7 linked regions of the Oryzias latipes genome follow. The protein of the gene in region 1 purifies or fractionates together with the protein of each later gene. This does not show direct contact. Links are inferred from orthologs where the notes say so. Each region holds a gene or a part of one and is shown in the gene's direction. Other genes may lie near its edges. The genes, in order: prpf8, sf3b3, sf3b2, sf3b6, bcas2, ttc27 and eapp.

Region 1 (3,500 bases):
TGAAAAAGTACAATTAAAAGTGTTATAATTCTTAACCCATGAGTCTCAATCTAAAACATTTGACCTGCTTTAAACTTTTTTCCTAACTTTGTGTTCTGGTTGCAGGATGGCCCTTACATCACAGCAGAAGAAGCTGTTGCCATTTACACCACCACTGTGCACTGGCTGGAGAGCCGGCGATTCTCGCCCATTCCGTTTCCCCCACTGTCGTACAAACATGACACCAAGCTGTTGATCCTGGCTCTGGAAAGGCTCAAAGAGGCCTACAGGTACAAATGTTAGAACATAACGGACTCAATTTAACACGACTGCTCCTGTTCAAGATTGTGATTTTTATCTTCCTTCCTCATAGTGTGAAATCTCGTCTGAATCAGAGTCAGAGGGAGGAACTCGGCCTGATCGAACAAGCCTATGACAACCCTCATGAAGCTCTGTCCAGGATCAAACGTCACCTGCTCACCCAGAGAGCGTTCAAAGAGGTCAGCACGACTGACTGACTCTATATTGGCTGCAACATTTAAAAGCTTCAAGGGAAAAAGTTGACCTTTGAAAAAACCGAGCATGTCTTTTTTTTCAACCAGTGTTCGGTTAAACCCTTTTTCCAAACCTGTTTATTGCATCACATTTGATGTTTTTCTTGTCGTTTCAGGTTGGCATTGAGTTCATGGATTTGTACAGCCACCTGGTGCCAGTGTATGATGTGGAACCCCTGGAGAAAATCACAGATGCATACCTGGATCAGTACCTATGGTACGAAGCAGACAAGAGACGGCTGTTCCCACCCTGGATCAAACCTGCTGATACTGAACCACCTCCACTTTTGGTTTACAAGTGGTGCCAAGGTGAGTCCCAGCCTATGTTGATTTCAAATAGATGTTTTACTGCCGTGTAATTTAAATGCTCTTAAAGAAAAATATTACAAAGGAGCTAATGTAGTTTATTTGGCTGCTCCTGTCAGGCATCAACAACTTGCAGGATGTGTGGGAGACTGCGGAGGGAGAGTGCAACGTGATGCTGGAGTCCCGCTACGAGAAGATGTACGAAAAAATCGATTTGACTTTGCTGAACAGGTTACTGCGCCTTATTGTTGACCACAACATCGCTGATTACATGACGGCCAAGAACAACGTTGTCATAAACTACAAAGTAAGCTCTCCTCTGTTTGGGAACATTGAGCTTGAGCGCATAATCATTGTCTTTAAACTGGTCCATGATGTCAATACATTCATTTCTTCTAGGACATGAACCACACCAACTCTTACGGCATCATCAGAGGCCTGCAGTTTGCTTCGTTCATTGTGCAGTACTACGGCCTGGTGATGGACCTGCTGGTCCTCGGCCTGCACCGTGCCAGTGAGATGGCGGGCTCCCCTCAGATGCCCAACGACTTCCTCAGTTTCCAAGACACCGCAACGGAGTCTGCTCACCCAATCCGACTGTACTGCCGTTACATCGACCGCATACACATCTTCTTCAGGTGAGACTAAAAACAAAATGCCTTTCCTAACTCATTGGCAGATTCTAAAACTCTGCTTTCTTTTTACGGCCTTCAGGTTCTCTGCTGATGAAGCCAGAGACCTGATTCAGCGATATCTGACGGAGCATCCGGACCCCAACAATGAAAACATAGTGGGGTACAACAACAAGAAGTGCTGGCCCCGTGACGCCCGCATGAGACTTATGAAGCACGATGTAAACCTGTAAGTTCATCTTCACAATATATAGTGAATAGATTCATCAGAATTTTAATTGAAAGCACAGTTATAAGCAGCTCTAACATTTCCTTGGAGCTCATAGTTGTTGGGAGAAGAACCCTTTCTGCACAGCACCTCTTCTAGTTTACTACTGTTCACATCATCATGCACTGATGGCGGAAAAACACTCTTCAGCATAACTTTAAACGTAACATTGGAGGAGACTGCGATGGCGTTTATCACAAATCTTATTTCCCTCCCCAGTGGACGTGCAGTGTTCTGGGACATCAAGAACCGCCTGCCCAGGTCTGTGACCACGGTGCAGTGGGAGAACAGCTTCGTGTCCGTTTACAGCAAAGACAACCCCAACCTGCTCTTCAACATGTGTGGGTTCGAGTGTCGCATTCTTCCCAAGTGTCGCACCAGCTATGAGGAATTCACTCACAAGGATGGCGTCTGGAACCTGCAGAATGAGGTGAGGAACAATAACGGTCAGCTGCTGGCTTTTGGAGACAGCTGCAGTCTCGTGTGTAAAGCAAACATTGTTCAGTTTATTTTGAAATGGAAAATGGTTGTTTTTCTTTGTGCCAGGTAACAAAAGAGAGGACTGCGCAGTGTTTCCTCCGAGTGGATGATGAGTCAATGCAGCGTTTCCACAACAGAGTGCGTCAGATCCTGATGGCTTCTGGCTCCACCACTTTCACCAAGGCTAGTAGAAATCCCTGTAAATCACTCTGGTGTCCTGGCCATTATCATAGACCATGATCAAATAAAAATCCATTGTCTTGTTTTTCCTCTTAGATTGTGAACAAGTGGAACACCGCTCTCATCGGCCTCATGACGTACTTCCGCGAGGCTGTGGTCAATACTCAGGAGCTGCTGGACCTGCTGGTGAAATGTGAGAACAAAATCCAGACACGTATCAAGATTGGCCTCAACTCCAAAATGCCGAGCCGCTTCCCTCCCGTGGTCTTTTACACCCCCAAAGAGTTGGGTGGGCTGGGCATGCTGTCCATGGGTCATGTCCTCATCCCACAGTCAGACCTGCGGTACGTTCTGCCACATTTCTGTCCCAACGTCTCTTCTTGAAGCTAAAAACACATGTGGTGTCTAAACAAACCAGTCATTCAGTTCTCTGTTGCTGCTACAGGTGGTCTAAGCAGACCGACGTGGGAATCACCCACTTCAGGTCTGGAATGAGCCACGAAGAAGACCAGCTCATTCCTAACTTGTATCGATACATCCAGCCGTGGGAGAGTGAGTTCATCGACTCTCAGAGAGTTTGGGCCGAGTACGCCCTCAAGAGACAGGAAGCCATTGGTCAGAACAGGTGCGGACAAAATGAGATCAGCGTTTAAGGGTTCACAACGTTCCTGTTCGCGGAACTGTTTTATGAAGGGGTTCAGTTGAATGCGAGTGTTAAACAAGTCGTGTAAAACGTGTTGTTTGTTGTTCTAGACGTCTGACTCTGGAGGATTTGGAGGACTCCTGGGACAGAGGAATTCCCCGCATCAACACACTTTTCCAGAAAGACAGACACACTCTGGCTTATGACAAAGGTTGGAGAGTCAGGACAGATTTCAAGCAGTATCAGGTATGACGGAGATGCTCCTTATGAGAATAAATTAATCTGGAAGTGAATATCTGCTTCTTTGAAAGAATGGATAGAAAGTCAATAGTTTGTCAATGCTACTGAGAGTCACAAACAAGTTAACCTTATTTAATTTCAAGCATGAAATTATAGAACTATTAAAATTACATTCATATAGATGTTTTTGACTTGCAGATTAGTTTCTTTGATGCTGT
Region 2 (4,011 bases), on another chromosome or scaffold:
CAGAAATCAAATGGAAGTAGTCCATGTTTGAAGCCACTTTATTCTGAGATGCACATGCAGGACGATGGCCTTCGACATCAGCGGCTGACGCCAGAGGAAGAGGGATGCACCTTCATCATCACCCCTCAGAATGAGCCACCTCGACGCTTTGTCTGGTTTAAAGATGCCCTTATCGCGGGGGGGGACTCACCTCGATGCACTGGCGGGGCACGAGCGTCCTCCAGCCGCTCCTCGTGCGCTGATGCTGCTGCTGCTGCTGATGCTGCTCTTCGGGCGTCTAACGGCGCGCTCCCAGCGTGCAGTCACGCCGTCTGAATCTAAATGGCTGAATGTTTCCGGGGAAAAACAAGCTGAGGAATTTCAATAACCCTTGGGTGAAGGAGACAAGGGCTGCTAAACCCGCAACAACTAATGTTTCATGAGGCTAAAGCCTGCTAAGAAAGACACGGGGAAACGGAGGCATTACGGAATGGGTGGGAGGGTGGGAGGGAGGGAGGCAACTGGAGACTGTTCGTTCGTCGGGACGACCCTTTGCTACAAACCGAGAGGCGGCGCGGCTCGGTTTCTTTAAGGGAGAGCAGATTCACACTGAGCCCGGCGGCTGCCACTTTCATCTGCGCGAGCCAAAACTACAACTTCCTGTCTGAGCTTTTCATAATTTAATGTTTGTATTGTCAACAAATTATGCAAAATATCCCTCTGTAGGTTCCCTGAATGCCCGTAATTATAATTAATATTGATATTATTCTTATTATAATAATTTTCATTATGAATGACGGTCATAGTATGATTGGTAGTGGAATAAAAACTCTCAAAAATGAAATACTTAAAAACAACATGACCAAAATAAATACGTTTCACACTTATTCAAATAAACAAAATGTTGGTCAAATCAAAAAAATACATTTAGGAATCACAGCCATGTATCTATCACTGCAACATGCACACGTAGCAACATAGACAATAAAAACAGCTAAAATAAATAATTGTAACATTGGTTTCAAATGCGCTGCTCAACAAATGTCCATTCGTTTCTAAATATTGCATTTGTCCTATTTCCACCCTTTTAAATTTAACATTTGTACGTTTTTTTCACGCTTCACCATACTTGAGTTTTAAGCTATTCGTGGTATTTTAGACTCACTGGTCTTTGTCGACACCTCGTGGACGTTTAACTCATCAACAGCTCTTGATTCTTGTCAGGCATCGGGCGGGCCACCTATATCCATTACGTATCGCAAAGCGAAGGACCCTCCAACGGCTTCTTGTCGTCGGAGCTAAAGAAAAACGTTCTATTTCATGAAGTTAAATCTCTTTGGAATCTGAATCATCTCTTTGAGCCCACTGGTAAAAGTTTCAATTTACAAATCTGCATCACCGTTCAACTTGTTGAGCTTTATATTTTTTTTAATGTGTAAAAAATATCGGTGAAAAAGCTGCACAGCTGTAGATTCATCGGTAAAAGTGGCGCCTTGAATGAATAGGCTCCCCCAAGCTAGCAGACTGAATAATGACTCCTTTCATATTAATTTTTTTCCCTTTAAACCTTTTTTGGGATATCGCAACAGCAATGCTCGAGTTGTATACGCCACAGTCTCGTGGTCGTTAAATAACATATTGTGTAAAATGCTAAAAAGGTAAAGCCTAATGCTATTACAAAATAGCTAGCTAATGTTGGCAGTTGCTGTGAAGTGTGTAAACAAAATATAACCCCTTCCCGTCCTCAAATCCCATACTTCAGTGTTTATTTCTTGTTGTATTTAGACAATTGTTTAAGTTTGATCTGTTTCACCAAGTTCAACGTGCGTCTTTTCCCTGACATTTTACGTGCCTGATACTAAAAGTTGCTTAGTTTGCGTGTCACTTGTCACATCTTTGTGCAGAGTTGGTAAATATACTTTTTAATTTTTTTCCTGTAGCTTTCACCCGGGCTAAGGTTCAGTTAGCCGCTCCAGAAGGTCGTTGTGTAGAAACAACTGACCAGCAATCATGTTTCTGTACAACATCACCCTGCAGCGCGCTACCGGCATCAGCCATGCCATCCATGGAAACTTCTCAGGTGAGCTTCTAGCGGTACTATGACGGCCTTCCACTGCTTTTGTCACTCAAGACCCACACCAATGAAAGCTGTGTTTTAATACGTTCTTTCCATGCTGGACTTACACTAAGAAAATTAAGCTTTAAATTGCATTTCTGAGTATTTCTTTATTCAAATAATTGGGAATTGGTAGCAGACAAAAATGCTACTGGGAAAAGCTTGTAGTAGTATGTAGGTACTATAGTTGCAGACCATAAACTCCTTTCTTCACTCCAAAATGTGCCATTCTCCCCTTAATCCTTTGATGCCTATTGATGCAAATATCCATTAAACCATTTCTTCTCCAAATCTACCTTAAGTAGACCTTAACTTGGCATCTACATGAAAACAAAGACATAAGTTATTTTTTTTCCTTCATTGTCCTAAATAAATTCATTTGTCAAATTATAGTAGTAGGTTTAGGGGCGGGTAAAAGAGCTGGTATATATGCGCTCATGGGGGAGGAGTCAGACCTGAAACTCCTCCCCCATGAGCGCATCTATACCAGCTCTTTTACAGCCAATTCAGAATTGACAATGCCTCTTGGATAAGAGGTGAAACATCTTCTAACTTTAAAGTACAAATGACGGCCTCTAAACCTACTCCTATTATGGAATCGACCTGGATGAATGAGAGTCTTCATAGACACATTTGTCAAATGGTTCAACACAAAGCTGATTGTTTTTTCTTCACAAACGTCTTATCTAATGTCAATACATTTTGTTTTTCATTATTTAGGAACCAAAATGCAGGAGATTGTAGTTTCCAGAGGAAAGATCCTGGAGTTACTGCGCCCAGACGCCAACACGGGGAAAGTGCACACACTCCTCACAATGGAAGTGTTTGGTATTGTGAGATCGCTGATGGCCTTCAGACTCACAGGAGGAACTAAAGGTATGTAACCATCATTATTTAACAATATGTTACAGGTGAAAGATTTGCTGATTTTGCTTTTCCTAAAAGAATGGTCAGAGTTTATTCTAAAAAGGCTTTGGTACTGATTTACAGATTTTTGTATGTGATTCTTTCGCTTAATTTTAATGATGAGGAATAAAATAAGCTTCACTCTCCTCATTGAACTTTATCCTGTAAAATTAGGTGTTTAGGTACCAAAGGATTAGAAAGAAATGTTGCTGCTTATTGAATCACTTGATTTGGTTTGCTTTTGATATTTGTGCTGCTGAAAATGATTTGAAAACTGTTTCTTCTTGTCATTAATTGTGATGTTTCTCAGTAATCTGTCAGTTAACTGTTACTGTTGAAGCTTTGTGTGTGTTTTGCTCTGGTTTGGTTTACTCTGGACAGAGATCTTCCCCCAAATATAAGCTGTCAGTTTTCAGTGACTGTGTTTGATGAAGGTCAAAACTCTTAAGCTAGCAGGAAGCCCTTTTTTCACGTTTACTTTATCCTCATTTTCAAAACAAATTCTCAAAGCGTGTGTTTGGTTAATTTGTTTGTTTGTAGATTATATTGTTGTTGGAAGTGACAGCGGACGCATCGTCATCCTGGAGTATCATCCATCTAAAAACATGTTTGAGAAGATCCACCAGGAAACCTTTGGGAAGAGCGGCTGCAGACGGATCGTCCCGGGACAATACCTGGCTGTAGACCCTAAAGGCAGAGCTGTCATGATAGGTGAGAGTTCTTAGCGTGTCCTTTAAATGCGCATTCTTTCAGTATTCTCTTCTTCACAATTTCAAATGGTTCCATGTGTAATTTTCAAAGAGTAGCAAACACACAGAGTGCAAAAGATCAATTAAAGTGAAGATTTCATACATTTGAAGTAATGAGAGATATTGAAATGAGAGATATTTTTGGTTTTCTCTCTGCTGTTTAATTAATTTAAAATGAATTTGTGCAACTTTTTCAATGAAGCAGGTTCTCTGTAATGATCGATTGAAACTGAACAGAAGGTTGCAAACATAGTTGAAAAA
Region 3 (3,500 bases), on another chromosome or scaffold:
ATGTAAAATTGTCTAAAAAGCCCACTCAGATATAGCACTACTTGATCAATAGAAAACATAAACTGATGTTCAATTCAACAGTTGCTGCAACTTTCGCCATAGAAAAACATGGGGTATGCTTTTCTGCAATCTTAACTTCTATATACTTTATGCCATTAAAAAAAATCAAACATGTATCTGTTATTTTTGTAGACCTTTTAACTGTCTTTAAATAATTTTTCAAATATTTTATTGTTTTTAAAACGATTGAAGTAGTTTAAATTCCAAATATAATGGAAGTCGATGGGGAGTCTGCTTTTACTTCACTGTTTTTGAAATGTATCTCCTACAATTTTTTACCTACAGACGCCATTTAAACTTTATACAGGTATTACTTTTCTTTTGAATACTTCAAATAGTTTTTGAACTACAGCTTTTTTAAATTATACGAGTCTTGACCCCTCATCAGATTTTAACACTAGTATATACTGCGGAATGTTCGCAGACCTAGAGTGGGTGACATCATCGCTTTTTATTATGATATTTCAGCTATATGATGGCTTTTCTGGCCAATTTGACATATACTTATGTTTTTCCAGTTATTCTAGCATTTAGCTGAAGTTCTGGCATTATGCTAGCTGTTTTGGCTAAGTTTTAAGCTAATTTGGCACTAAACTGTACTTCTAGGATTATGCTAGCACATTTCGCTAAATTGACATATATTGAGCTTTTTCAAGGATATTTTAGCATTCAACTAATGTTTAAGCAATAAGCTTACTGTTTTGGCTACAAAAGAATCTACTGGGATTTTTTAAAATTAATTTAGACTATAGCTGATATTTTATATTTTTCCTTTTTTCTGCTAATTTGTTATTAAACCATTATGTTTATACGATTCTAGCTCATGGCTAATTTGACATCTACTGAAGTTTTTAAAGCTTAGTAGGTATTAAGGTAATATTTTGCAATATGCCAGGTGTTTTAGATAAATTGGCATCTACTAAGGTTTTTCAAGCTATTTTAGCTAATTTTTTAGCAATATGCTAGTTGCCTTGACTAATTTGGCATCTATTGAGGTTTTTAAACTAATCTGGCATTTAGCTACAATTATACCTAATTTCTTAAGATAAATTTATATCTCTGAACAACTGTTTAGATACATCTTTGCAATTCTTCCTTTAGTAAGTTTTGGAGTTTTTAGATTTGTGTCCTGCCATTTATGGACAATATTGCTCTCTTCAAGTTTTTCTGCCATGTATGTCTTTTCTGCAATTAAACAAATGTGTTCCATTTCAATTGTAAGGCTATTTGCAGGTTTACACTTATAGCTCCAAAAACGTCTGCAAACTTTATATAAAAAACTTCAGCAAATTATTCAACCTTTTTCCTTTCAATAAACATCAGCTTCTACAACTAAAAGTTTTGCAATCAAGCAAAAGCAACTATCAAGCAATTACACAATCAAACATGTTTCTGCAGGAAATGCAACTTTTCTAGTTGTAAAACACATTGATTTTTCTTTGTTTTCATCCTGTTGGTTGACTATTTATAGGCAGTTGAGTTGTTATTGAGATGGTGATCCGATTCACAGGTCAAACCACAATTCTTAGTATTCACTATATTTTTTCTGAATGGTGGATACATGTTTGAAAACTAAAATACGTATTTAATCAGCATTGTTTATACATTTTATTTAGAGCAACAGATCAGAATAAAAAAACATGACAAATAAATAGACAGATTTTTAAAGAAAGAAATGTTATTTGTCACTTTTAACAATGTCACACTCAAAAGTTTTTCTGTCAACTTCCTAGTTAACTTCAGCAGTAAACAAAACAAACATCATTGTTGCTTTGAATCATTTAACAATAAATCCTGAAAATGTTCTCCACAGTTTTTCCATCCTCAAACTTTAGCTGACTACAGTTCCAGTAGATAAACGACAAGATAATAAATTAAGACGCGGCAGGACCTCAAAAAATATTTAACAACCAGAAAACTCAGTCTTTTAATCTTAACGGAAAACCGTGATTCCAACAGACATGTTTCGTAAACAGACATCGTTAGTAGAAATACAATAAAACTCCAACACGTTTTGCAGATGCGTTCATTTACGACTTCTCCACAATGCTAGCGTATGATGTAACATAATTGGTCACCAGATTTTTGTAATATTCTTAAATATTCATTTTGTGTTTTATTTAAATTGGCAATTAAATTCAAAACAAAATCCGTTTTTAGATGAAATGTGAAATTAATTAAAAAATTAAAATAAATGAATCTATGCATATTCAGTAAACTGAACTTCATTCTCTTTTTATTTCATCTACAAAAAACACTTGATAAGTTAACTTTGGAAATGAAACCTTTCACCAACACTTTGAAGATTTATTTACTTCCAGTTACAGTAGCGCATTCGGTTTGTTTAGTTTATGAACTGAAAATCCTCTGTTATTCTGCCCTTTACAGTGTAAAATGTTTTTTTTACCACACTCTACTATATTTGGAAAGATTGCAAATCAGCGATCTTGAACATTAAAAAAATATTTGTACTTGATTTTTCTGGAATAGTTTGTGAATTTCCAAATAACACTTGTTACAGCCCTTGTTTACTGGACTAATGTTTGTGTCCAGGCTAAGGCTGAGGAAGAAGAGGTAGACCATACCCCATGGGGAGAGTTGGAGCCTTCAGATGAGGAATCTTCAGAGGAAGAAGAGGAGGAGGAGAGCGATGAAGAGAAGCCAGATGAAACTGGATTCTTCACACCAGCAGACAGGTCCTTGATGAGAAAACTAAAATGTTCAGCTAAACTTAAAGATTTTCTCCTTTTCTATCCATTTGTTTGAGGATCGGTGGCAGAAGGGCTCAAAATAGAAAAGCTTATTCTTGTATTTCTTTGTTGTGAGAGATGTCAAGTAAAAATTAAACATCTGAATGCTTTTTTAGGGCCTTTTGATGTTCAAATCCTCTATTCTCAACAAGAGGACCAGTTGAAAAACATTTAGTCACTGTCCTAATTTAACGAATATTAACATAACCTAAAAACATTGTTTTCAGGCCAAGTTTATCACTGAAGACTGTTTATTTTTCATTTTGGGATGTTGATTCACACATGGGATGAAACCTTGCTATAAAGAAAGCCTTCAACTGAACTGACGCCTTGTTATGTATTGCAGTGGACTCATCACTCCTGGAGGCTTCTCGTCTGTACCAGCCGGCATGGAGACTCCAGAGCTGATTGAGCTGAGGAAGAAGAAGATCGAGGAGGCCATGGATGGGTATGTGGGGTTTCTGCTGTCACAAACATGCTGCTGCTGCCTTCAATTCTTTCAGTGCTGAAGGCCACTTCCAGTTACTATATTAGCTCTTAAAGCCTGCTCAGTGCTGGTTTTGTACAAAAACAGAGTCCCCAGCAGTTCAACAATAATCTAGGGTTAGGTTTGCAAAATATGATAAATACGGTATTATCTTCAAACTGCTTCTGTTAATATTTTTTGTCAGAATTCAAATAGTTTTGTTA
Region 4 (3,408 bases), on another chromosome or scaffold:
TTTCTGTAAACGGGCGTTTTGCGAATAAAAAAAAACAACTAAAGTCAATACGAGGAGTTCGGCTATCGTTTTGGTTTACAAAAAATGTTAAACTAAAACTCACCCGTTTATTCATCTCAGACTAAGAAAGCTCTCCTCGCCGAGTTGGTCTTCAACCGTCGATCTTTTTCCACGTCGCGAGACTTCAATAAAACGTCCCTTCTAGATTTTCCTCGAGAGACGCCAGTTTGCCGTTGGAAAAACTCCCGCCGTAATCTGCAACCGTTACCGGACCGAATCATCAAATCCCACATGGCGCCTGCGCACTAATACTTTTTCTTTTCTTTTCGTTTCTTTAACCCATAACCTGTTAATTGCAGAAAATAAAAGCACAACAGTTCAACAAATCATTACCCCATGTTGATTTGTTTTCTCATAATTTTATGACTTTATTCTCATGTCGTCGTTTATTTTTCCTCTTTTATATTGTAATACTTTATCACAATTCTATTTAATATTCTATATATAGTTTTTTTTCTCCGAACATTTTAGAGAAAAAATATTTTTTATTTGTGGTTAGATTTATAAAGGTGATTGTCATCTCGCTTTTTTTTTAAATGTCACAAAAGAAGAGGAATCGAGTACTTTGAATTAAGATCTTTTTTAGACTGTATTTTTTTAAAGAAATTAAAAGCACAGCTTTGTTTTCTGTTTGTTTTTTTATGAGAGATGGTTATTTTTACTAACTTCCCCCTCATAAATATGTATAGAATTTGGATTTTATCTTTAAAGAAAAAAAAGACACAAAAGGGGAGTAGATTCATTTTAACGCCAAAACCCCAATTGTGGGTAAACAGGTCAAACTGCAATTCTAACTAGTGCTCAAATCTCCAATATTTTTCTCCAAAAAAGTTAAATACATAGATTTTGTCAGTGTAGGGAATTTCCTAACACAAAAATGACAAAAAAAACTGTTTTGCATTTTATTGATGTTTATAAGTAATTTTACTTTTCCCTACACATATATCTCATTGCACAACACTTTGATGAGAGAGGTACACATAAGTCTTTTTATTTCTTGTGTCTTGTGAAACCACAAAACCACTTTCATGGCCATGTTGATTTTTTCTAGGTCAAAGAACAGAATTACAAAGAAATTTAAAAAAAGTTGTGTTAATAGTATCTCAAAATGTGTGTGATTCCTCTTTTAACCACACGAGGGAAGCACATGCCTATTGCTGTACCTATTGGTATTATCCGTTAACCGGATGTTCGTCTTCGTTTTGTCCCTCCATTTCCTGGTGAAGGCTAAAGGCATTGCGTGTTTGTTGTTTAGCTATTGTTCAGACGAAATAAACTGTCATCATGGCTATGCAAGCTGCGAAACGCGCTAATGTAAGGTCAATTTTTGTGTTTAACTTTACTATATAACAACGAGTATATGTTAATATGGTTTTTGGTGCTCACGAAAGGGACAATTAGCCCTCCGTTAGCCTTTAGCAGCTATTGGTTACTAAAAGATAGCGTCGCTACGTAAAAAAATTAATAAATACGGCATTTTGAAAATGAGATGGTAAAATTGATTGTTTTGTCATCTTAAAATTTTAAAGAATTATTATTGTTTTAGCACGTTAGAGGGTACACTTTAGTGAAGAATTCTTATACCGTTTGTTTACATGCTAGTCTTTCTGTTACACATTTCTTTTTTGTGTGCTGCAGATTCGGTTACCTCCAGAGGTGAACAGAATCCTATACATAAGAAATCTGCCTTACAAGATCACGGCTGAGGAAATGTACGACATTTTTGGCAAATATGGACCCATACGTCAAATACGAACGTAAGTGTTTTGTCTTCATACCTTCAGTTTTATTTGTTTATTTTTAATTTAAAAAAATGTCTGTCCTAAACACACAACCACGTCTACTAACAATGAATATATATAAATGTAATTTTTTTACATGGTAGTATTAATGAGAAGCAAAATTTATTTAAAAAATCGTTTCATTCCAAACTGTGGTGTAGCATTTGCTTAAATTTGACATTTAAATCATTATTAATCATATTAAAAATGCTTGTTTTGTTTGTTCCCCTCACATGTTATCATCATTTAAGAGTCCCTCTTAGATCACTTTTTCATATGTTTTCAGACAATAAAATAAATATGTAAATAAGCTCAATATTCTTTCATATATGTTGTCCTTCATCAGAAAAATGCCATGAGAAAATGTTTTAAAACAGTTTTCATCAGAGTGGGTCTTTAAGGACAATATTATTATGGAACAGGTTAAGATGTGTGACCATTTCATGCTTTTGCTGTATTTTAGGGGTAACACACCTGAAAGCAGAGGAACGGCGTATGTTGTTTATGAAGACATATTTGATGCCAAGAACGCTTGCGATCACCTGTCAGGCTTCAACGTCTGCAATCGTTACCTGGTTGTTCTTTACTACAACGCCAACAGAGTACGTATGCTTTTTATTTCATCCATTTACAACCTTTTTGGTTCCTTGTTTGTTTGTTTTTTTCTGTTTACCATCAACCCGCTCATATTTTTGCAGGCTTTCCAGAAAATGGACACAAAGAAGAAGGAAGAGCAGTTGAAGCTCCTAAAAGAGAAATACGGCATCAACACAGACCCTCCCAAATGATCTCCACGACTATCAAAACCTTCTCACACACCTTAGATTTCTCTGTACCTGTACAAATGTTCCCTTTTTTGAAAATTTTTGCTTGGTCAGGTTTTTGTTTTGGTGCTTTTGTCAACCTTTTATGCATGACCTGCCGTCTGCTTTTTTTAAAAATGACTTCTCTGATGTTAATTGAGCTTTTAATTTGAAGTGAAACCAGGCATGTTTTCAGTTCAGTTCTTTCCCCCCCCCCCACATAATTTTATTTGAAAGTTAACAGGTCTCTGCCTTGTGCTCCAAGAACATCAATGGATGTAATGTTTGTTTAAACCCATTTATTGTAAAATAAATGTCTCTTTTTCTTTAAACCCATTGTCTTTTGTTTTATAAACACCACATATGAACTCACTTTACTCTTGTTTTGTAAACCTGTCACATCAGCTAATTTTTCTTTTTTCCCCCACATTTACACACAAACAGAAAAGTATCTTTTGAGAAGCTGACCGTCATTCAGTCTTTTCCGTCCATCCATCTTAACCTGCTATATTTGTTGCTGGAGCCTATCCTAGCTGTTGTAGGGCAAAGGTGGGGTACACCCTTGTTTACGGAACAGTCAGCCAGAGGACCTGAGAGCTGCAGAGAGCATAGCTGCTTTTAAGAAAAGCTTCAAGACCCATCTTTTTCAACTGCCTTTTAGCAAATGTTTTAATAGTTTTTATTTATTTTGAATTCTTTAATTTATCCACTTTATCATATTTTATATTTTTACATGGGACTATCCATTTGTTTTAAAATTCCTC
Region 5 (3,736 bases), on another chromosome or scaffold:
TAACTTTAGCTATTTAATGAATTAACTAAATCCCTTTATGCATTTGACCAATCAGATATAGCCCTTTACGTTGTTGACCAATCGGATGGAGCTCTTACGTTAGATGTTGCCCTACTAATTAGACGAGGGTCATTTGGAAGATAAATTTAAGGTATTTTGACTCTTATTTATACTAAACATTTGAAGGGAAATGGAAATGTTTTTGTTGTTTTTGCTATTTGTTCATTTTTTGCAAGTTATATCTTCATCGCAATATTGATCACTAATATCGCATATAGCGAGTTTTCCTCATATTGTGCGGCCCTACATACTATAATGCATACACATACCAGTACTTCCCCTTTCTTGGCTATTTACTCTTGGTTATTATTTCTGTATTGTTAAGATGAAATGCCTTCAACGTAAACTTATAATTTTATATACATTATTTAAAAAAAAATATTGAAGTGATGATGAAGTATTTTTACAAGATTGATCACATTTGTATCAGAAGAAAAAGCTATTTATATATTTTTTTAGAACAACAACAAAAGAAAGATAAAAAAAGCATTTATTTGTTGAAATTTAATATGAAACTCTTTAAAGGTTTACTGTAGTGCAGTAATAGCTGAAACCTGAAGTTTGTTACACTACACATCTGCAAGAAGCTCCTGGGGATCTTCTATCAGTCTGTGGTCGCCAGTGTAATAACCTACGCTGTGGTGTGCTGGGGGGGGAGCACCTCAAAGACAGACTTCTCCAGGCTGGAGAAGCTGATCAGGCGGGCTGGTTCTGTGGTTGGCACAAGGCTGGACCGTCTGGCTACTGTGGCAGAGAGAAGGACACTGAAAAAACTGACAGGTATCCTGGACAATACCAGCCACCCTCTGCACATGACTATCGGTAGCCAGAGAAGCACCTTCAGCAAGAGGCTGCTCCTCCCAAGGTGCGGGACTAATAGACTGAGGAACTCCTTTGTCCCCCGGGCCATCAAACTCTTTACCACCCCCGGGCCATCAAACCACTTAGGAGGGGGGAGGGGGACAGAAAGGAAAGGGAAAGGGCCTGAATCACTTTTTTTTTTTTGTATATACTGTTTGCAGATATTTAAATTGTTTTTTACTGTTCTAATCTTCCTCATTTTTCTAGTCACTGTGCTGCTTTTTCCTTTTTCCTATATGTATGTCAACCAGTGCTGTATGCGATGGAGATGTCAATTTCCATGCGGGAACCTCCCAAATGGATAAATAAAGTTGTCTATCTATCTACTAAGCTGCAGTTCCATTCCTCAACGCAAGAGGCGACAATCACGATTAATACAACACCGTTGAGACTTTTATTTCGGAAAGTTTTGACCGGAAACGGAAGTTTCTGATTAGCCGTTTGGAGTCTGTTAGCAGAAAAGGACTTTCTTTCTTTATTTTTATTTTTTTTTACTGGGGAGCGAACATGGCTGGAACGGCCTCGGTCGCTGGCGAAGTGTTTGTTGATGCGTTGCCGTATTTTGATCAAGGTTATGACGCACCAGGTGTCAGAGAAGCGGTGGGTAAACAAGAATGCTGCTTTAAAAGCTAGCTAACTTATAGCTAGTTAGAACTGTTAGCTAGCGATGCCGCATGGTAACGCGCCGTTCAATGTATAGTTGGCCAAACCATTATTATTATGATCGCCTGTATATTTCTTTAGATCTTGTCATTATAGGTTTCTGCTTTGAAACTATACAAGTTCATAATTTAGGATGAAAACCTTCAAAGCCAAAGCTGCTGTTTACCTCATCGGGTAAAACAACAGCTGAGGGGTTTGAAACAGCCGGCAGATCTGGAGAACCAGGGTTTGGTGACACTAAGTTGACATGTTAGATCATCAGGGGTTGTGGCTCATTTTTAAATCATGTTTGTATGAAAAATGGAGAGAAATCATTTGTACTTGGCCCTTCAGGCCGCTGCGTTGGTGGAAGAAGAGACCAGAAGGTATCGCCCAACTAAGAACTACCTGAGCTACCTGCCCATGCCGGAGTTCTCGCCGTTTGAGGTGAAAACCTGCAGACATTTGAAACTTGATTCCTAGTCTGGGTTGGCTAACCGGTTTATAATCCTTTCCCGTTTTGTTTTGGGTTTCAGACAGAAATCATGAGGAATGAGTTTGAGCGATTAGCCGCTCGACAACCAATGGACCTCCTCAGCATGAAGAGGTAAAAAACACACTCTGTCTGTCTGTACAATATTTCTGTAAATGTAAAAGAAAGAGAAAGTTTAGGGTGATTCCATAGAACGATTCTATTCTGCTGTGGAGGTATGAGCTTCCAGCCCCCACATCGGGACAGAAGAACGACATTACCGCCTGGCAGGAGTGTGTCAATAACTCCATGGCCCAGCTGGAGCACCAGGCCATCCGGATCGAGAACCTGGAGCTCATGTCGCATTATGGAACAAACGCGTGGAAGGTCTACAACGAGTGAGTGGCGGCCTGTGGGTCTCACCCTTTGGTGTCTGACTCTTCTGAAGACTCAAAGCTAATGTTGTCCCTTTTCAGCAATCTGGCCTTCCTGATTGAGCTGGCTCAAAAGGAACTCCACAAGTTCAGGTGATTGAGGATTGGATCATACATGCCTGAAAAGATCCAACGGTTACCATGGTTACACATTTCTGAACTTATGCCGGCAGGAAGAAGATCCAGGACCTGAACTGGCAGCGCAAAAACGATCAGTTGGCTGCAGGCGCCAAGCTGCGAGAGCTGGAGTCCAAGTAGGTTCTTCTTAAGTTCTGGTGTTCTCGTGGATGAGGGGTGATGTCTGACTCTGGTTCTGATTCCCGCCAGCTGGGTGTCGCTGGTCAGTAAAAACTATGAGATCGAGCGCGCCATCGTCCAGCTGGAGAACGAGGTGGCTCAGCTGAGGCAGCAGCAAGGGGAGGAGAACAAGGAGAACATCCGACAGGACTTTTAGGAGTCACCTCACCGGGATCCGTTGGATGGATCTGATTCGGTTGGTTTGGACGACTCGATGACTGCTGGAGCGTAGCGGGTCACTCGACTCCAAGACGGATGATGTTTGAAAGGCGTCGGTTTCCTCTGATGGAACCGTTGGGTCTTTTGTGTTCAGTTACACACAAATCATGGTTTGAAACTCATGATCGATCGACATGATCGATGTCTTTGTAGCTTGTTGTACAGTTTCTAAGTTGTGGTGGAGAAAAAAAATCCTGTTTTTGATTCAACTTTTGTTTTTTATCGTTTTAATAAAATGAACGTTTCATACACATTGTTATTTTTTTCAGTCTTTTACCTGTAAGTCTCTGAGCTTCAGAGCTGCAGCTGATGAGCTGGAAGCTAACAGATGGGAGCAGCTGGATGGTTTGTCATTCATCCCTCTTGAAGAACAGTGAAACCTAAAGTCTGAGGCCTAGAGTGAGGCGGTTTTGTGTCAGATCCCCTGTCTTCTGTACATCCACTGAACTTTGATCTCAGAAATCTGCAGCATTTTGTGCTGATCCATTTTCAAAAGTCTCAGCGTCTTCCATGACTTCCTGGATGAGTCTTCATCTTTGTTGTTGGTCAGTGGCACAGAAAGGTCACAACACATTAACTCACAACACATTAACTTACCACACAACACATTAACTCACAACCCAAAAACTCACAAAACATTAACTCACAATGGAAGTAAAGCTGCAATGGAGGTGCTTTTATCCTGAAATTAATTAGTGTATATATATATATATATATATATACACATCAAGCTCAAGGCCCCAACTGACAG
Region 6 (3,336 bases), on another chromosome or scaffold:
TCTGCAGAAACATTGTCAGAGAAAATGACAGGTTTTTGAAATTTGGCTAAAAACAGCATAATTGTCATTAAAAGACTTTAAATCAAAGGATGATCAGTGGGTCTTTAAGGGGCGGAGTCATACTTTTCCCACAATTTTATTTCCTCTTAAGATCTGAGAACTTAAAGGATCAGAGTGAATGTTTGGATAAACCACGTTAGATAGATTGAGGAGAGATTAAGATGCTCCGAGCAGCGTTTTTGGAAACGTCAACATCAAGGTCAATGTGAAGATGAAGTAATAGAGCCAGCAGCCAGCTGTTGTGCAGATCCAGCTCAGATGACGACACTCACAGCAAAGGACAGATAAAGCAGAGCAGGAGGAAACTGTCTCCATAAATCACCACCGGTTGACCTTCACAGCAGAGGCGGAGGAGGCAGGAAGCAGCTGGGCTTCCTGCCATCAGGAAGAGGGAAGAGCTGACCTGTGAGGAGGTTGTTACTGCAGTGATGCCACCTGTTGGAGCTCATTCCCCGATTAGCAGTCATTTCAGTCTAAAACACAAAAAACTAACTTCTGTTTGTTTGGAAAATCTTCCAATAAAAAGCTGTTGTGTTTTTTAAAAGTTCCTGCAGTCCCTGAATGTCTCTTCATCTCTTAGTGACCATCAGCTGCAGTGAGAAGAAGAGCAACCCTGCTGAAGCTCTGCAGATGCTCTCCTCCACCCGCCTCAGCCTCCGGAGTCTGGTCACCAAAGCCAAAGTAAAGTCCAGCCACTTTTTATCTGAGTGAAGCTGACATTTCTGCTTTCTCTGGGGTGGGGGGTGTCAGTGTGTTTGGGACCGGTGGGGGTTCAGACTCACCTTTTTCTGCGGTAGCAACATAACAGAAGCCGTAAGAAAGCAATGATTGGTCTGAGTCAATGTTTCCATGGGAACTACTCTCTCTAATCAGGAGTGAGCTTGTTGGAAGACCCCACCCCTACTACTTGAAAATGGGTTTGGGAGAATCTGTCAATCAGACATTTCAAACATTTGATGTGAGACCAAAGACTTTTATTCCGGCATCTGACTGGTCGGTTTCTATTGAATAATTTTGTCTATAGAAAAAAAAAATTGTAAATAAATTAGTATCAGCAAGAATATGTCACTCAGTCCAGTTCACATATACAGTCAATTTTCCCCAAACACTTTCTGGTTGTTGTGTGACTCCCGACCGTGCTTTAGGTTGCTTTTGTTCAGGATTTCCCCCACAGGCTGTTGAGTTGGGAGGCTTTGGTTTGCTTTCACACATGACTCTAACGGAAGAGAACCAGAGACCGAAACGGAACCAAATCAAAAACGAAATAATCTCCCTTTGAGAAAACATGTCTCTGGGACTAGAATTTCTTTCTTAAAATAGGAATTCTTAAGACCATTTTTCTTACACCATTAGCCTTTTTTATTGATTATTTAAAGAAAATCTCCCAATGGGGTAAGAATATTTGACTTGTTTTGAAGGGGCTTGTTTTTGCAGCGTAGTGTGCTTTTAGGCCAGAGATGTGACAGTCACACAGATCATGAATTCAAAACTATATATCTAGATAGCTTATTTATGATAGAAACTGTCTCAAGTCCTTCCTGTTCTATCTTATTAACTTACATAATGGTGACAAAATTAACAGATCAGTGCAGATATGTGTCATCATATCAGTTTGTGTAGCTTCTGTGGCGTTGTGTAATATTTTTTTGCCCTCAAGTCTCTTCATTTCTGCTGTAGAAAACCTGCTGGTCTCTCACTCATAGTACTGTGTGGATTTAAAATGTTCACAAAAACCTTTTCTGTTATAAATACAGACGTTTACCATCTATGCATGCACACATTTTTACAGTTGTTTTTTTTTTCAGAAATGAGGCCCCTGGTGAGCTTTCACACCTGTCTAACAAAGCAGACTATAGGAACTGTTGTGCTTCACACAGTGAGCTATGGAAGTCTTTCTGTTCCATCAGATTCTGAACTTTTTAAACCCTCGAATTTTCAATTTGAATTTTTAAAACCTTTGCATTTAAAAATTCAGAACGAAAATTTGAGGGTTTAAAAAGAATTCAGAATCTGATGGACCAGAAAAACCTCCATATGAAAGCAGCCCAAACTCATCCTGCCACAGTCTTTTTGGTTACTGGTTGATTAATAATTAAAAGGTCTAAAACACAAAAGTTTACAATTTAATCATCAAAATCAGTTTAGCTTAATAAAATACTTTGATGTTTACGAAATGTTACTTTTATGCCTTGATGATGTTCCTTTGTGATTAGAATCCGTTTGTGCCAAAAACATGTTTTTTAGCACCAATGGAACCCCGGCAAAATTATTTGTGTACCGTTGTGATTCTAATCAAGTTGTGCTTTTGCAACTGTTTTGGTTGACTGCTGCATCAGAGGATCTAGAGCAGCCATGAAAGTTGTTTTTAAGGCGTTCCCCCCTCAGCCTCTCACCTCGCCTGCTTTGCTATCTTCCAGCAACTGCACACGGATGCGGGCACAGGTCAGCTTCCCGCCGAGCTGCAGGATGGCATCGCCACTCTGGAGGAGCTCATCGCTGCGCTGCAGAAGCAAGGAGGCCTGCGGCGAGACAAATCCCTGTGACATCCTTACAGACACGCCCCCTTCCTTTGAAAGAACTCCCAACATCATCTGTTGACTTCAACAGATGACTTATTTTGGAATCACGTTTTTATAGTTAAATACCCTAAATGGAAAGAACATTGAACAGTAAAATCTTAAAAACTCTTAAATGAATTTGTTTTTATGCAGTTTCTCTTTCATATTTTCCACCAAATATTGAGAAAAATAAAAGAAAATCTGAAATAGTGTTTTAATGTTTGTCTTTGTCATTTTTATGGAAATTCTGCCCTTCACTATATTTTTAGTCATCTTCTCATGTCTTGGATTTAGTCTCAGAGCTTACATTTCCCTAAAATATATCTTTATACATCAGCGAGTGTTGGGAACCTTTGTTTTCTTTCTTTACAGTGAAGCTTCAGATGATTTATCTTTTAAAGTGGAATATGTAAAGACTTTGATACCATCCATCCATCCATCTTCCTCCGCTTATCTGGGACCGGGGCAGCAGTCTAAGCAGAGATGCCCAGACTTCCCTCGCCCCAGCCACTTCCTCCAGCTCCTCTGGGGGAACCCAGAGGCGTTCCCAGGCCAGCTGAGAGACGTAGTCTCTGAGCTTCATTGTGTCCTGGGTCTTCCCCGGGGCCTCCGCCCAGTGGGACATGCCCGGAACACCTCTCCAGGGAGGCGCCCAGGAGGCATCCGGACTAGATGCCCGAGCCACCTCAACTGGTTCCTTTCGATGTGGAGGAGAAGC
Region 7 (3,935 bases), on another chromosome or scaffold:
TAAAAAATAACATTTATTTACAAATTAATAAATACCGATCGACAATAACTAAAAGGTGAAGCAAAAAGGCTTCAGGGTGAACCAAACCCAAAATAACAAACAAAACCCCACCTGACTGAGATCTGAAATCTTACCTGTGACAAAACAATAACCTCCGTGGAGACAGGTTGCAGCAAAGCTCCCTTCTGGCAGGCTGGGGGTCCACATGCTGCTTGTAAAGGCTGCCTCCATCAGCTTGGGTCCAAAAGGAAGCCACACCCTTTCCAGCACCAAAGTAATCAGACAGACACACAAAAACCCACAAAACACAGAAGTCCCACTATGATACAAAAAAGACAGAACAAAAAGAACAAAACCGAATACGGCCACAGCCATAACACTGGAGGTCCAACAGGATCTTTGCCCTCTCATTCTCTACCACTTCAGAGGTGTTTCCCATTTTGACTTTATGGTTTCCAGTTCATATTCTGCACACATGTTCCTGTATATTATTCCAGCCACTTGATTGTGGCGCTCCATGTATGCTTTCCCTGCCAGTATCTTACACCCTGCAGTTATGTGCTGGATTGTTTCAGGCGCCTCTTTGCACAGCCTACACCTTGGGTCTTGTCTGGTGTGGTAGATCTGAGCCTCTATTGCTCTGGTACTCAGGGCTTGTTCCTGAGCTGCCAGGATGAGCGCTTATGGCTGAATAATCTTTTCACCTCTATTGTCCTTTTCAAGTTGCATGGGTTATCCTTAAACTAATCTTGAAAAACTTTTTATTTAATGCTTTTTGAAGTCTATAGTTATCATTATATTTTGGGGATACATAAAAATATATAATGTTTGAAAATTTTCTTAATTATTTTCATGTTATACCTACTGTTAAATCCAAACAATAATTAATTTCTTCTTTTTTATTAATTTTACTTTTCTAATCTTTTAAATTTAGCTTCAGCATTTTAACCTGACCGATTTTACTATTAAATTGTGGCTTTAGCAATAAATAAATTTATTTTTATTTGTTTCTTTTGTTTTATATTCCACCTACTTTTATTTTTTAGTTCTGAAATGAATTTCCTTTTAGATAGTTGAAGTAAAAATGATTTTAAAATGTTTCTCCACAAGAGGGCGGTAACGAGTTTTCCAAGTGCTTTTACCACCATAGAAGAAGAACCGATGCCGAAGAAGAAGACATACGTCAGACTGGACAGAGTGTAGACCAGTTTCGGGATAAATCTTTCCCGTTGTTTTGTCTTCTGAGAAAGTTTAAAATTGTTAAAATGAGCAAGTTTAACGGACCGGTGGAAAGTGAGGCTTATGAAATCGATGAGCCAAGCGACGAAGAACGCGCTTCGAGCAGGTATGATGTAAACAGACGGTTAGCTTCATGCTAGCAGCACGAGGCTAACAACAGCTGAAAGCAACAAAAACGGATAAAAACATTACATGTTTATGATTTGGTTTTTAATGATGTTTTTGATTTTAAAGGTAGAATATATGCAGGATAAACCAGTTCCTAGACGTTTAATTTTAAAGTTTGAATCAGGTTTTAGACCATGATAAAAGAGACGCAATATGTCGCATTTTGGCGCTGTGTTTTGCTTTGCTTCATGATCGTCATCATGATGAAGGTTTCCAAAAGTCCAGTTTTGAACAGAAACGCCTGTCTTCAGCTCCGAGGACGAGCTGGACGTGCTGCTGAACGGGACGCCGGACCAGAAGAAGAAGCTGATCCGGGAGTACCTGACCGGGGAGAGCGAGTCCTCCAGCGGGGATGAGTTTGAGAAGGAGATGGAGGCAGAGCTGAGCTCCACCCTCAGGACCATGGAAGGAAGCTGGGCCCCTGCAGCCGGTAACCCGTAACACGCACAGACACACACAGGGCCCTTCCAAACACAGAAACACCAAGCTTTTGTACAAAAGAGAGCTGCTTGTTGTTTTGAACCACTTTACCACATTGGAGCCACCAGCCCCAACCTCAGCCGCCTCCCAGCATCATCATCAGCAGCAGCAGCAGCAGCATAACTGTCCGTCTCTCCTTTCAAAACCATCTCATTCTGCTTCTAGAGCCTGATCTGGGGGGTATTCCAGAAAGCAGGTTATGCTAGTTACCACGGTAAGTTTGAGGCTAAGGAAGTTGATACCCTCAGCTTTCTGTTTTAGAAATGGAGGTATGCTTCAGGGTAGGTCAAGTTGCCATAGTAACTCATGCTCTGAACATAACCTGGTCTGGAGCAGGTTTAGTTGAAGCTTAGTTTGTTTTCAGAGAGGTGAAGCAGCATGGCGTGTCCATTTGAAGATGATTTAGTGGATGAAGAAGCTCAGATAATACTTTTTCCACCATTGTTCTCCACGCGTTTCCATGGTTACTCCGTAAATCGGCGATCTATTGAGAATGTCTTTATGTACCTGCTGTGCACGAGCATTAACCCAGGGTTACCAAGTCGAGCGCAATTACGCCAACTCATACCCGGTCTTTTGGAACCGACATACCCAGAGTAAGCGATTTCAGGCGGATTTCAGCCAGAGTTCAGGGTTAAAGTCAGGCTAGTTTAAACATGCTTCCTGGAACACCCCACAGGTCTTCTGATGTTTCCATTCCTCCATTCAGTGCAGCTTTAAAAGCTGTTCTTCTCTTTAGAAGCTGCAGACTTTAAGGTCTGAGCTGTAATGAACAGTCAGATCAGTGACCAGCATGGGAGGATTTGTAGATCCAGACAGGTTTCATGCAAAACTCAAAAACAATAGTTTTGACCTGATACCACTCATGTTTGGCTTCTTTACTTTGTTTTAATTAATAAATCATACAAACATTAGAAAAAAGATATATTTTAGAAATACTGTTCAATTTAAAATAGAAAAATGCTCTTTTAATACAATGTACTTGCTATAGTAGAAAGTCAAGTCAAACCAGCCGGAGTCCACAACCTCTCATCCACCAGAACCTTCAAATCCTCCACAATTCCAGGAGAAATTGAATGATTAGTTTGTGTTAAATAAAAGTCCCAAAACAAACCAATAGTTTGTAAATTTTGAATGTTTTTCTGCAAAGGCAGCTCATCAGCTGTTCTCTGGAGGGGTTGGTCTGCTTCTGTATTAATCTGACTGCAGACGAAGGTTTCAGGAGGGATTGCATGTGAAGGTTTCCTCTCTCCTGCAGCAGAAACTGGAGGAGGCAGCGAGGTTGTCGGTTCCTCCAACCCTCAGATGTACGACAGCGTTTACTTTGACTCTGATTCAGAGGAGGAGGACACAGCTGGTAAGACGCACACTGACGCGGCGTGAGCACGGGCATGCTAGGTTCACACCGCCCACGGGAATCCGCGTCTACGCCACTACTTCCAACGAGTCCAAGTCTATGTAAACGCTTGTAAATGCGCATTTCCGGCTTCTTCGGTCAAAACTCTTTTGTTCGTGCATCTCTGCGCGAGTCTTGATGTCTGTTTTTGTACAAAACCTGCACCCACTGAACGCACTTTGAAAGTTAAACCAGTTGAACTTTGACCAATCAGAGAGTCAGATTTGGTAGTGACGCATGCGTAGCATCCTTTTTAATTCACCAAATGGGCTAACTGGTTGAAAGGTGATCAAGAAGGAGAAATTCAAAATGTGCAGTTTGTGCCCTGCCAGAACTACATGACACACCAAGTCTTTCATAAACCGGAATCGAGCCGTGAAAGAAAACGCCTGGAGATTTGCACCGCTTTGAATTTTCCTCCCAAGCCTCCTCCAACTGGAGGTGGTGGACGTGTTGGCGCCCGTCCACTGTGAACACCATATGACAACGCATGTCCAAGAATGTGTGACACGTCTGGTGTGAACGTAATTGGGAGTGGGAATTGGACTAGGAATATTAATGTTAGCGGTTGACCGTTGTACCACCATGCCAGAAATTCTGTTCTAGTACATACATAGAATAATTCTCAGGGTTTGAATGCACGTCATGAAAT

Evidence for each region.
Region 2: the proteins of prpf8 (region 1) and sf3b3 fractionate together in Homo sapiens (co-fractionation; 4 studies listed by BioGRID, with this or other methods). This does not show direct contact. The link is inferred for Oryzias latipes from reciprocal best matches to the Homo sapiens genes PRPF8 and SF3B3.
Region 3: the proteins of prpf8 (region 1) and sf3b2 purify together in Homo sapiens (affinity purification with mass spectrometry; 3 studies listed by BioGRID and IntAct, with this or other methods). This does not show direct contact. The link is inferred for Oryzias latipes from reciprocal best matches to the Homo sapiens genes PRPF8 and SF3B2.
Region 4: the proteins of prpf8 (region 1) and sf3b6 fractionate together in Homo sapiens (co-fractionation; 3 studies listed by BioGRID, with this or other methods). This does not show direct contact. The link is inferred for Oryzias latipes from reciprocal best matches to the Homo sapiens genes PRPF8 and SF3B6.
Region 5: the proteins of prpf8 (region 1) and bcas2 purify together in Homo sapiens (affinity purification with mass spectrometry; 3 studies listed by BioGRID and IntAct, with this or other methods). This does not show direct contact. The link is inferred for Oryzias latipes from reciprocal best matches to the Homo sapiens genes PRPF8 and BCAS2.
Region 6: the proteins of prpf8 (region 1) and ttc27 purify together in Homo sapiens (affinity purification with mass spectrometry; 3 studies listed by BioGRID and IntAct, with this or other methods). This does not show direct contact. The link is inferred for Oryzias latipes from reciprocal best matches to the Homo sapiens genes PRPF8 and TTC27.
Region 7: the proteins of prpf8 (region 1) and eapp purify together in Homo sapiens (affinity purification with mass spectrometry; 4 studies listed by BioGRID and IntAct, counting the BioPlex papers as one, with this or other methods). This does not show direct contact. The link is inferred for Oryzias latipes from reciprocal best matches to the Homo sapiens genes PRPF8 and EAPP.

What each region holds. Positions count from the first base shown.
Region 1 is NC_019871.2:16,920,923-16,924,422, forward strand, and holds part of prpf8 (pre-mRNA-processing-splicing factor 8), read left to right. Parts: intron 1-105; coding exon 106-269; intron 270-352; coding exon 353-479; intron 480-649; coding exon 650-842; intron 843-958; coding exon 959-1,146; intron 1,147-1,238; coding exon 1,239-1,477; intron 1,478-1,553; coding exon 1,554-1,700; intron 1,701-1,958; coding exon 1,959-2,169; intron 2,170-2,285; coding exon 2,286-2,402; intron 2,403-2,495; coding exon 2,496-2,743; intron 2,744-2,844; coding exon 2,845-3,024; intron 3,025-3,152; coding exon 3,153-3,288; intron 3,289-3,500. UniProt on the Homo sapiens protein: Plays a role in pre-mRNA splicing as core component of precatalytic, catalytic and postcatalytic spliceosomal complexes, both of the predominant U2-type spliceosome and the minor U12-type spliceosome.
Region 2 is NC_019864.2:25,096,010-25,100,020, forward strand, and holds the start of sf3b3 (splicing factor 3B subunit 3), read left to right. Parts: upstream 1-1,211; 5' UTR 1,212-1,347; intron 1,348-1,919; 5' UTR 1,920-1,989; coding exon 1,990-2,059; intron 2,060-2,815; coding exon 2,816-2,971; intron 2,972-3,541; coding exon 3,542-3,712; intron 3,713-4,011. UniProt on the Homo sapiens protein: Component of the 17S U2 SnRNP complex of the spliceosome, a large ribonucleoprotein complex that removes introns from transcribed pre-mRNAs.
Region 3 is NC_019876.2:19,496,889-19,500,388, reverse strand, and holds part of sf3b2 (splicing factor 3B subunit 2), read left to right. Parts: intron 1-2,613; coding exon 2,614-2,756; intron 2,757-3,156; coding exon 3,157-3,258; intron 3,259-3,500. UniProt on the Homo sapiens protein: Component of the 17S U2 SnRNP complex of the spliceosome, a large ribonucleoprotein complex that removes introns from transcribed pre-mRNAs.
Region 4 is NC_019882.2:13,000,521-13,003,928, forward strand, and holds sf3b6 (splicing factor 3B subunit 6), read left to right. Parts: upstream 1-1,221; 5' UTR 1,222-1,344; coding exon 1,345-1,374; intron 1,375-1,698; coding exon 1,699-1,817; intron 1,818-2,304; coding exon 2,305-2,443; intron 2,444-2,539; coding exon 2,540-2,629; 3' UTR 2,630-2,908; downstream 2,909-3,408.
Region 5 is NC_019865.2:942,938-946,673, reverse strand, and holds bcas2 (pre-mRNA-splicing factor SPF27), read left to right. Parts: upstream 1-1,324; 5' UTR 1,325-1,428; coding exon 1,429-1,521; intron 1,522-1,917; coding exon 1,918-2,010; intron 2,011-2,099; coding exon 2,100-2,170; intron 2,171-2,271; coding exon 2,272-2,433; intron 2,434-2,511; coding exon 2,512-2,562; intron 2,563-2,642; coding exon 2,643-2,723; intron 2,724-2,796; coding exon 2,797-2,923; 3' UTR 2,924-3,236; downstream 3,237-3,736. UniProt on the Homo sapiens protein: Required for pre-mRNA splicing as component of the activated spliceosome. Component of the PRP19-CDC5L complex that forms an integral part of the spliceosome and is required for activating pre-mRNA splicing.
Region 6 is NC_019873.2:9,610,715-9,614,050, reverse strand, and holds the end of ttc27 (tetratricopeptide repeat protein 27), read left to right. Parts: intron 1-640; coding exon 641-741; intron 742-2,477; coding exon 2,478-2,603; 3' UTR 2,604-2,836; downstream 2,837-3,336.
Region 7 is NC_019880.2:24,339,581-24,343,515, forward strand, and holds the start of eapp (E2F-associated phosphoprotein), read left to right. Parts: upstream 1-1,135; 5' UTR 1,136-1,265; coding exon 1,266-1,345; intron 1,346-1,658; coding exon 1,659-1,837; intron 1,838-3,145; coding exon 3,146-3,244; intron 3,245-3,935. UniProt on the Homo sapiens protein: May play an important role in the fine-tuning of both major E2F1 activities, the regulation of the cell-cycle and the induction of apoptosis. Promotes S-phase entry, and inhibits p14(ARP) expression.